Kluyveromyces lactis: one gene and its partner. Each later gene encodes a partner of the first gene's protein in a complex. Links are inferred from orthologs where the notes say so. Each region holds a gene or a part of one and is shown on either strand. Other genes may lie near its edges. The genes, in order: MDM20 and NAT3.

Region 1 (4,392 bases):
AAAAAAAATTTGTATTGGACCCTTAAAATCCAACACAGGAACAAACCACAAATAAGATGAAACGTGGATTGTATGAGAATACCTGTACCTACAGCTAAATATCAACCTTACCACGCATTAAAAAACGCGCTTTTAAACAATTAACTCCACGAAAGATCGCCATAACATTACTGTTTTTTGTCATTTGCCTTTATATAACAGAAATTGTGTTGATGTTTTTTTTTTTTCAATTTCAAAAATAGATTTTTTGCTGCTAAAACTAAGCAGAGCCAAGATTTGACATCTCCAGCCGAAGGAATGTCATTTACAGCCGTGGAAAATCGGACGGTGCAGAACCCTGATGCCTTATTTACGTACCTACCTATGACATTATACACTGTTTACGGTTTATTTCGTGTCTTGTTTCCAGTACAGGGGGGAGACCGAGTACAGGAGTGAATTGGGGGATTTTTACTTCCAACTTTATCTGTGCAAAGTCATTAGTAATGATAAGTCTTTTATCTTCCCAGTTCCTATTGATATCTCGATGCCCTTTTTCGTACCTTTCTTCGCAGGCTCGCGCACCGTTTAGGGAAAACTTGTGCAACCGTTTTTCTTTTTCCTTTTGTCTCGTTCGTAACACGTGCCTGGTATCTCAGGTGTTTAGTATGTATAGGATATCTAGTTCCCTATATGTTACGGATTGATTTTGACATCTGGGTGATTTCAGTAGCAATGTCACCGGTTAGTTTTGAGTATGAGACCGTTTCCAGTAGTTTGTTGCCGTTACCAACCGATTGGACCATATCAGCGTACGATTTGAACATCGGGACGCAAGTATCTCTTGTCTCTTTTAACTTGGTCTTTATCAGTTGCTTGACGCTTTTGTCCTTGATGCGTTTCATTTGGTCTAGTGACTTTAACGTTGCCAAGGTGATTAAATAGCTATGGTTCAATTCCCATGTAGACTTGCTGATTTCTGGACACTGTTCTATTAGCATCGCCATGGCCTTGTAGTCTATGGCCTCTGTTTCCAGGGAGTTGTAGAGTAATTTGATGAGTTGCCAGGTCCATAGTTCGTGCTGAGACATCAATTCGCGCAACTCTTCATCGTTTGTGGTAACGAGTGTATCGTCGATGAACCTATTGCGTTCGTTTTTAGTTAGGCTGTAGAAGATCAACTCTCTTGTAATGCTGATCTTCAACCATTTGGTACCGACGTGGATTGGTGCAAGCACCGTTTGGAATCGGGTCACATCGTCTGTACCAAAAATGTCAAAATCTCTGTTATCGCTCCAGTTTTCGTTGTGGAAGTTGTTTTCGCCGAACGTGTTCAAACTCTCAATGAGTGGTTTGTATTGGTCAAGTTTCTTCTCGTTCAATAGCCTGGACATTTGCAACGTTTCCACCATAGCGTCCCACCTGGTGAACGATTGGAAGATCCTCTGGTAAAATTCTACGATTCCAGGTACTTTGCACCAACTTCTACGTTCAAATGAGGCAACTAGGAACCCACTCATGTTCTTTAACGATGAATAGATCGCCTGTGGCTGTAGGCTTCTTTGACAATACTTGTAGTTCTTGTTAGGCAGGAACGTCGAGGAACGTGTGAAGAGCCAGTGGTTTACCAAATCGTTTTGAACATTCTTGATGTTCAACGTCTCCAAATGGGCAATGGCTTTCTCTGGTAATCCCAGATACATGTATAAGAGAACAAGCCATACCCTGGTGTCATAGTTGAAGGGGTCTTCTGCTTGGTAACCTTCCAAGAGCGAAATGGACGTAATGACGTTCTCTAAGTTCACTTTGGAGTCTTGGCATAGGTCTTTCACGATTTCAAGGATGAAATACGAGCAGTTAGAGTAATCTGTCTTTGGCTTTGTTGACAAAGATTCCTTATGTTTCAAGAACAATTCCAAATTATCACCTTTGCCGAACAATTGAGCAACAGCTTTGTCGTGTATCAGCCCCGAAGGCAGCTTTGAAAACATGGTCTCGATTTTCACTGGGTTCAATTCCAAGCTATGAAGATCGATTGGACAACTAGGTTTATCATGATATTTCTCGATGAACTGAAACAGGTAGTGATCTAGCCTATCGTCATAAAGTTTTGCTGCTGCGACTCTTGCTAGTATGTAATTTCTCGTATTCTTGATTTCCAAAACTTCCAATAACTCATCGAATGACTTGCCAAGTTTGTAACTTGCATCTATAATCTTTTGCAAAATACCATAATCGTCAAGGTTATTCAATAACGAGATTCCATGTTTCCAAATGAGTTTATAATCGTCTAATTTCACCAAATGGCCCATAAGGAAGTTTTTCAAATAAAGGTCTAAGTAAGTACCATGTTTCCAAAACTTGAGGATCTCGTCCACGATCTCCTGTGATTTATCCTCAAACAATTCACAAACTTTACAGAAAACGATCAACTCTTGCTCATTCTCAAAAGGTTTCAAATCGCTTGTCAATTTATATGTCAACTTAGGTAAAAGATCCAATTCCCTTTCGTTAATGTTATCTTTATCCAACTGAAACCATACTACAGTAGCAATACTGTTCCAGAATTGGAACAATCTCGATTTCGATTTTTCATTGACTCGTGGCATCTGGAAACTACTCTTACTCAAATGTCTCCAATTTAAATCCCTCAATGACTCCAAGAACCAATCATAACATGTCTCCGAATTACCGTATTTCATCATTGCTCTTTCATAAGGTTCCAATGCACTGGTGGTGTCAAAACCTAATTCCAACAAAAATCGATGGCACATTGATAGCGATTTCGCATCGCTTGGAGGAGATTTGGCATCCAAGATCAACTTTAACCCATTTTCAAAACTATATTTCGCAGGAGATTGCCTGTACTTGACATATTGCTCTAACACTTTGTAATAAGTGGCGGATGGGTACCGTTTCTGCAATGATGCAACAAACTGTGAAGCTTTCTTAAACAGTTCCCTATCTAATAGCTGAAAAAGCTGATGATCTTCAGAGTTCATATCAACAGTTTCCACTCTTCGTGTTGGTCGATATCAAATCTAACAGATCAAACAGCAACGAACACCGTTACTGCCAGACATACCGGGTTGTTCTACGAACGACGTGCGTATGAGGTTGTTCATTAGAAGTTTGAATGCTGAATTAAGCCAATATCGTAATTTTTCAGTCTTGATTACCCGGATAATAAACTATAACTGTATGTGTATCCATAAATGTAAACGGCACAGCCTAACAAGGGCATCAGCGCTCTTACTGCTTGAAATATAAACGCAAGACCTCACCATACAATCCCCACCCGCGTTGAATCTGATAGAAGCCAGTTGGCAGACGATACGAACATTTTCTTTTCGAGAAACTATCCTTTTCTATTTTAAATCATCACTGATGAGCCTTAGTTTCTTTTTCGGTACATTGAAAATTTTTGAAAAGTTAGAAAAGGCGATGAGATGAGATGAGATGAGATGAGATGAGATGAGAAGAGGTATTGAACAAGGTTGTCCTGATCCTTCCAATCTATACATCGTCGGTCTAAACACTTTGAGATTATTGTATTACACTTGAGTAGTTGGAAGGAAGAAAAAGCCAAGAACTGCTAAGCAAATCCTTCTATAATGTCGAGTATTTTCAAGACTTTGTCTCGTAAGGATAAAGACGGTAAGAAGAACAAAAATAATGCGGCTAACAGTGACAGTAATGAGAAACAGTTCATGAATAAGCAACGTACCTTACTTATTACGTCCAGAGGTGTTACTTATAGACATCGTCATTTGGTTCAGGATTTGAACAGTCTTCTACCACATTCGAGAAAGGAACCTAAGTTGGACACGAAGAAGGATCTAGGACAATTGAATGAGATTGCGGAATTGTACAACTGTAATAACATTATATTCTTTGAAGCTAGAAAGCACCAGGATTTGTACCTATGGCTATCAAAGCCACCAAATGGACCAACAATCAAGTTTTATTTGCAGAACCTACATACCATGGACGAATTAAACTTCACTGGCAACTGTTTGAAGGGATCCAGACCAATATTGTCATTTGATGGTAGATTTGATTCTGAACCGCACTACCGTTTAATTAAAGAACTTTTTATCCATAACTTCGGTGTACCACCTCAAGCTAGAAAGTCCAAGCCATTCATTGACCATATCATGTCTTTCAGTATAGTTGACGAAAAGATCTGGGTAAGAACGTATGAGATCTCGCATGAAGCTAGGAACAACGTTGAATATGAGGATAAAGAAGAAGATGAAACGTCGTTAGTTGAAATTGGCCCACGTTTCGTGATGACACCGATTTTGATCCTTGAAGGTTCATTTGGTGGTCCAAAGATCTACGAAAACAGACAATACGTATCGCCAAACTTCGTTAGATCTCAAATTAAACAACAGGCTGCCAAGGAAGCTA
Region 2 (2,883 bases), on another chromosome or scaffold:
CCACCGATTAGCATGGGAAGAAGTGGTATCGACATCAGAGCAGAGATCTCTTGTTATAAAGACGAAATTTTTGACGGATAATCTTCTTGCCTGTGCCACAGTCGATAAAAAATTGATCGTATCAGATGTCGATCATAATAATGTGACGGTAGATTCGATTAGCCAGCCGGGCATCATCAAATATTTTGGTCCTATAACAGAAAAATTTCACTATACGGGTACAATTGACGGTAAGGTTAATATAAGAAACTTGGTTGATGGTGTCAACAGTCAATCGTGGAGTTTTAATTTACCTGGAAGAGCTGTAATGGCCATGGAAATGGTGTTATTAGAAGATGGAAAGATACTCTGTTTCTATTGCTCGTTGAATAACACAATTAATGCCTACGTTTACAATTTGGAAACGGAAGAAACGAGTAAGGTAAGTGAATATAAGCTCCTTTCTGTGTGTACCGCACTACAGTTAGCATTCTCTGAGGACGGATGTCCTGTGTTATTCTTAGCAAGACAAGATTTTACTCAAATTATGATATTCAAATTCAGAAATCATCAAATACATCATGTTGCTAACATTGCTTTAAATACGGCACAATTTAGTACCCATTCTTTCAACGTTTCCGATATGCTTATCACTTCTTTCACACCGTCTTGGCATCCTATAAATTCTCACATCCTACAGATAAATAGCACAACAATCCTTGCTGTCGCTACATCCCATATTCCATATATGCGAATTATTGTCACAAAAGTTCCGAGCTTGGATGATTATACTGTTGAAGATTTGTCTGTCAACTCCTCTTCCATCCCACAACGGAGTGTTCTAGACGAATATATCAGTAACAATGCATCAATTACTGAGACAGTAACCACCACCACAAAGACGCATTACGATTCTATCTTACAGAATATTGCCACTGTAGTACCACAGGATAGTTATTCTCAGCCTATTTTGCAAGTGTCTTATTCACTTGGTGGTTTAGTCGTTGGAGCAGATAACGGATTATATGCCGTGGATTTACGGAAATCTGACACATGGCCCCTAAAATATGGCAAAGAGGATAGAATTAAGTCTTTAGACATTTACAAAGATAGCATTTGCGTTTCGCTTGCCTCAAAGAAGTTGGTGATGTGGAAGCTAAAGTAGTCATATATAGTTCATCATAGTTAATATATTATTATTTCTTTCTACTTTTCAGATCCAAACCTTATTTTCAGTGATAGAACTCAGAAGGAGTTTGTTAATGTATAACTGAAGTATCATAAACATATAAGCTGTAACAGAAAAACGCCACTCCGTCGAGCGGAGGGCGTGTACCTAGTATTGAGCCATTACTAGTGGAACAAATGGCGTTAATCTTCTCGATAGACCTCCTCTTTCGAAGAAAATTGTACTCACGTGACCTGAGTTACACTGTCACATCTTTCAAAGAAACATGTAAAGGTTGATTCAACCAATTTGAACCTTCGCAGCACCTAAAAAAAAAAAGGTTACCGGGAACAAGATAACTCGCTAAGCAACGACTTGCTAGTACTACAGCAACGTTTGAAATATGACATCTGTTCAGCCATTTGAGGCTACTGATTTTTTCAGTTTAAATGCAGTGAATCTAGATACATTTACAGAGAACTTTCCTATTGAGTTTTATCTTGAATATCTAATTCTATGGCCATCGCTAATGTTCAAGAGCATAGAGATGACTTCTCCGCTGCACGGTTCAGAGGAATATGAAATATCGGGATATATGATGGGTAAAACAGAGGGAAAAGGACAAGACTGGCATGCACACATTACTGCTGTGACGATATCACCTAGGTTCAGGAGAATATCGCTTGCATCGATGCTATGTGACACATTAAAAACCATAACAGATAACTCCCCGCATAATGTGAACTTTATTGATTTATTTGTGAAATGCAATAACCAATTGGCGATCAGTTTATATGAAAAATTGGGATATTCTGTCTATAGAAGAGTTGTAGGATATTACAACTCGCAAACTGATCCAATACCTTCCCGGTCAACAAAACCAAATGACCTCAAGGATGCCTTTGACATGAGACATGGGATGGAAAGAGACCAGGGAAAAAGTCTTCGTGCTGATGGACGGAAACATAATTGCTTGCCGATGGACATACGGTTTTAATGCTGTACTTTTAAAATTATAATAGCTTTTAAATTTGTATACTTAGTGTTTCTATGTTACACATGCGTCTTTCCCTGCTTTTACTTCGATAGATTGCTCGATTCATTTCGTGTTAGCTTCAATTTCCCGGTGTGTTAAGAGGTAGTTGAGATAATAGGTATTTAATGGGGTTCTGTTAAGATTCAACATCATGGACTGGTGGCTTGTTGGCAGCATTACGATTTCCACCACGGAAGCCACCGCGGTTACCGCCACGGTTACCTCTATATCCACCACGACCTCTGAAGCCGCCACGACCATTGTTTCTTGGTCTGGCTTGACCGAAAGTATCCAAGTTGACCTGGCGTTCCTCTTCCCATTTGGCAGAAGACGAGTTTTCTACGGCGGAACTTGAAATGGAATCAAAGAATGAGGATTTTTTATCGTAGAAAATCTCATCTGTCTTGGAGGTTTGCTTCTCTTGTTCTATATCTGATTCTCTGGGCTTTTCAGCATTCTGGAATTTGGCGTTGTTACTTTCGAAATCAAATTCAGAATCTGGAACAGCAGAAGGAGCCACCGCAGCCACAGGAGCAGCAGGAGCCGCAGACTTCTGCTGTTGCTGGTTAGGAACTTTCTTTTCGGTAACAGGCTGTTGGCGGGTCTGCTGTCTTTGCTGCTGCTGTTTTTGCTGGTGTTGTTGGGGAACTTGCTGCTGATCCTTGTCTGGAGCGTACACACCATACCCGGCCACCGCAGC

Evidence for each region.
Region 2: MDM20 (region 1) and NAT3 share a complex: the UniProt entries of both Saccharomyces cerevisiae proteins name them as parts of the N-terminal acetyltransferase B (NatB) complex. The link is inferred for Kluyveromyces lactis from reciprocal best matches to the Saccharomyces cerevisiae genes MDM20 and NAT3.

What each region holds. Positions count from the first base shown.
Region 1 is NC_006041.1:1,575,141-1,579,532, forward strand, and holds MDM20 (Mdm20p), read right to left. Parts: upstream 2,982-4,392; coding exon 669-2,981; downstream 1-668. Other genes in the region: ribosome biogenesis protein BRX1, read left to right, coding at 3,594-4,392. UniProt on the Saccharomyces cerevisiae protein: Non-catalytic subunit of the NatB N-terminal acetyltransferase, which catalyzes acetylation of the amino-terminal methionine residues of all proteins beginning with Met-Asp or Met-Glu and of some proteins beginning with Met-Asn or Met-Met.
Region 2 is NC_006038.1:984,401-987,283, forward strand, and holds NAT3 (peptide alpha-N-acetyltransferase complex B subunit NAT3), read left to right. Parts: upstream 1-1,550; coding exon 1,551-2,144; downstream 2,145-2,883. Other genes in the region: KLLA0_B11253g (uncharacterized protein), read left to right, coding at 1-1,144; SCD6 (Scd6p), read right to left, coding at 2,320-2,883. UniProt on the Saccharomyces cerevisiae protein: Catalytic subunit of the NatB N-terminal acetyltransferase, which catalyzes acetylation of the amino-terminal methionine residues of all proteins beginning with Met-Asp or Met-Glu and of some proteins beginning with Met-Asn, Met-Gln or Met-Met.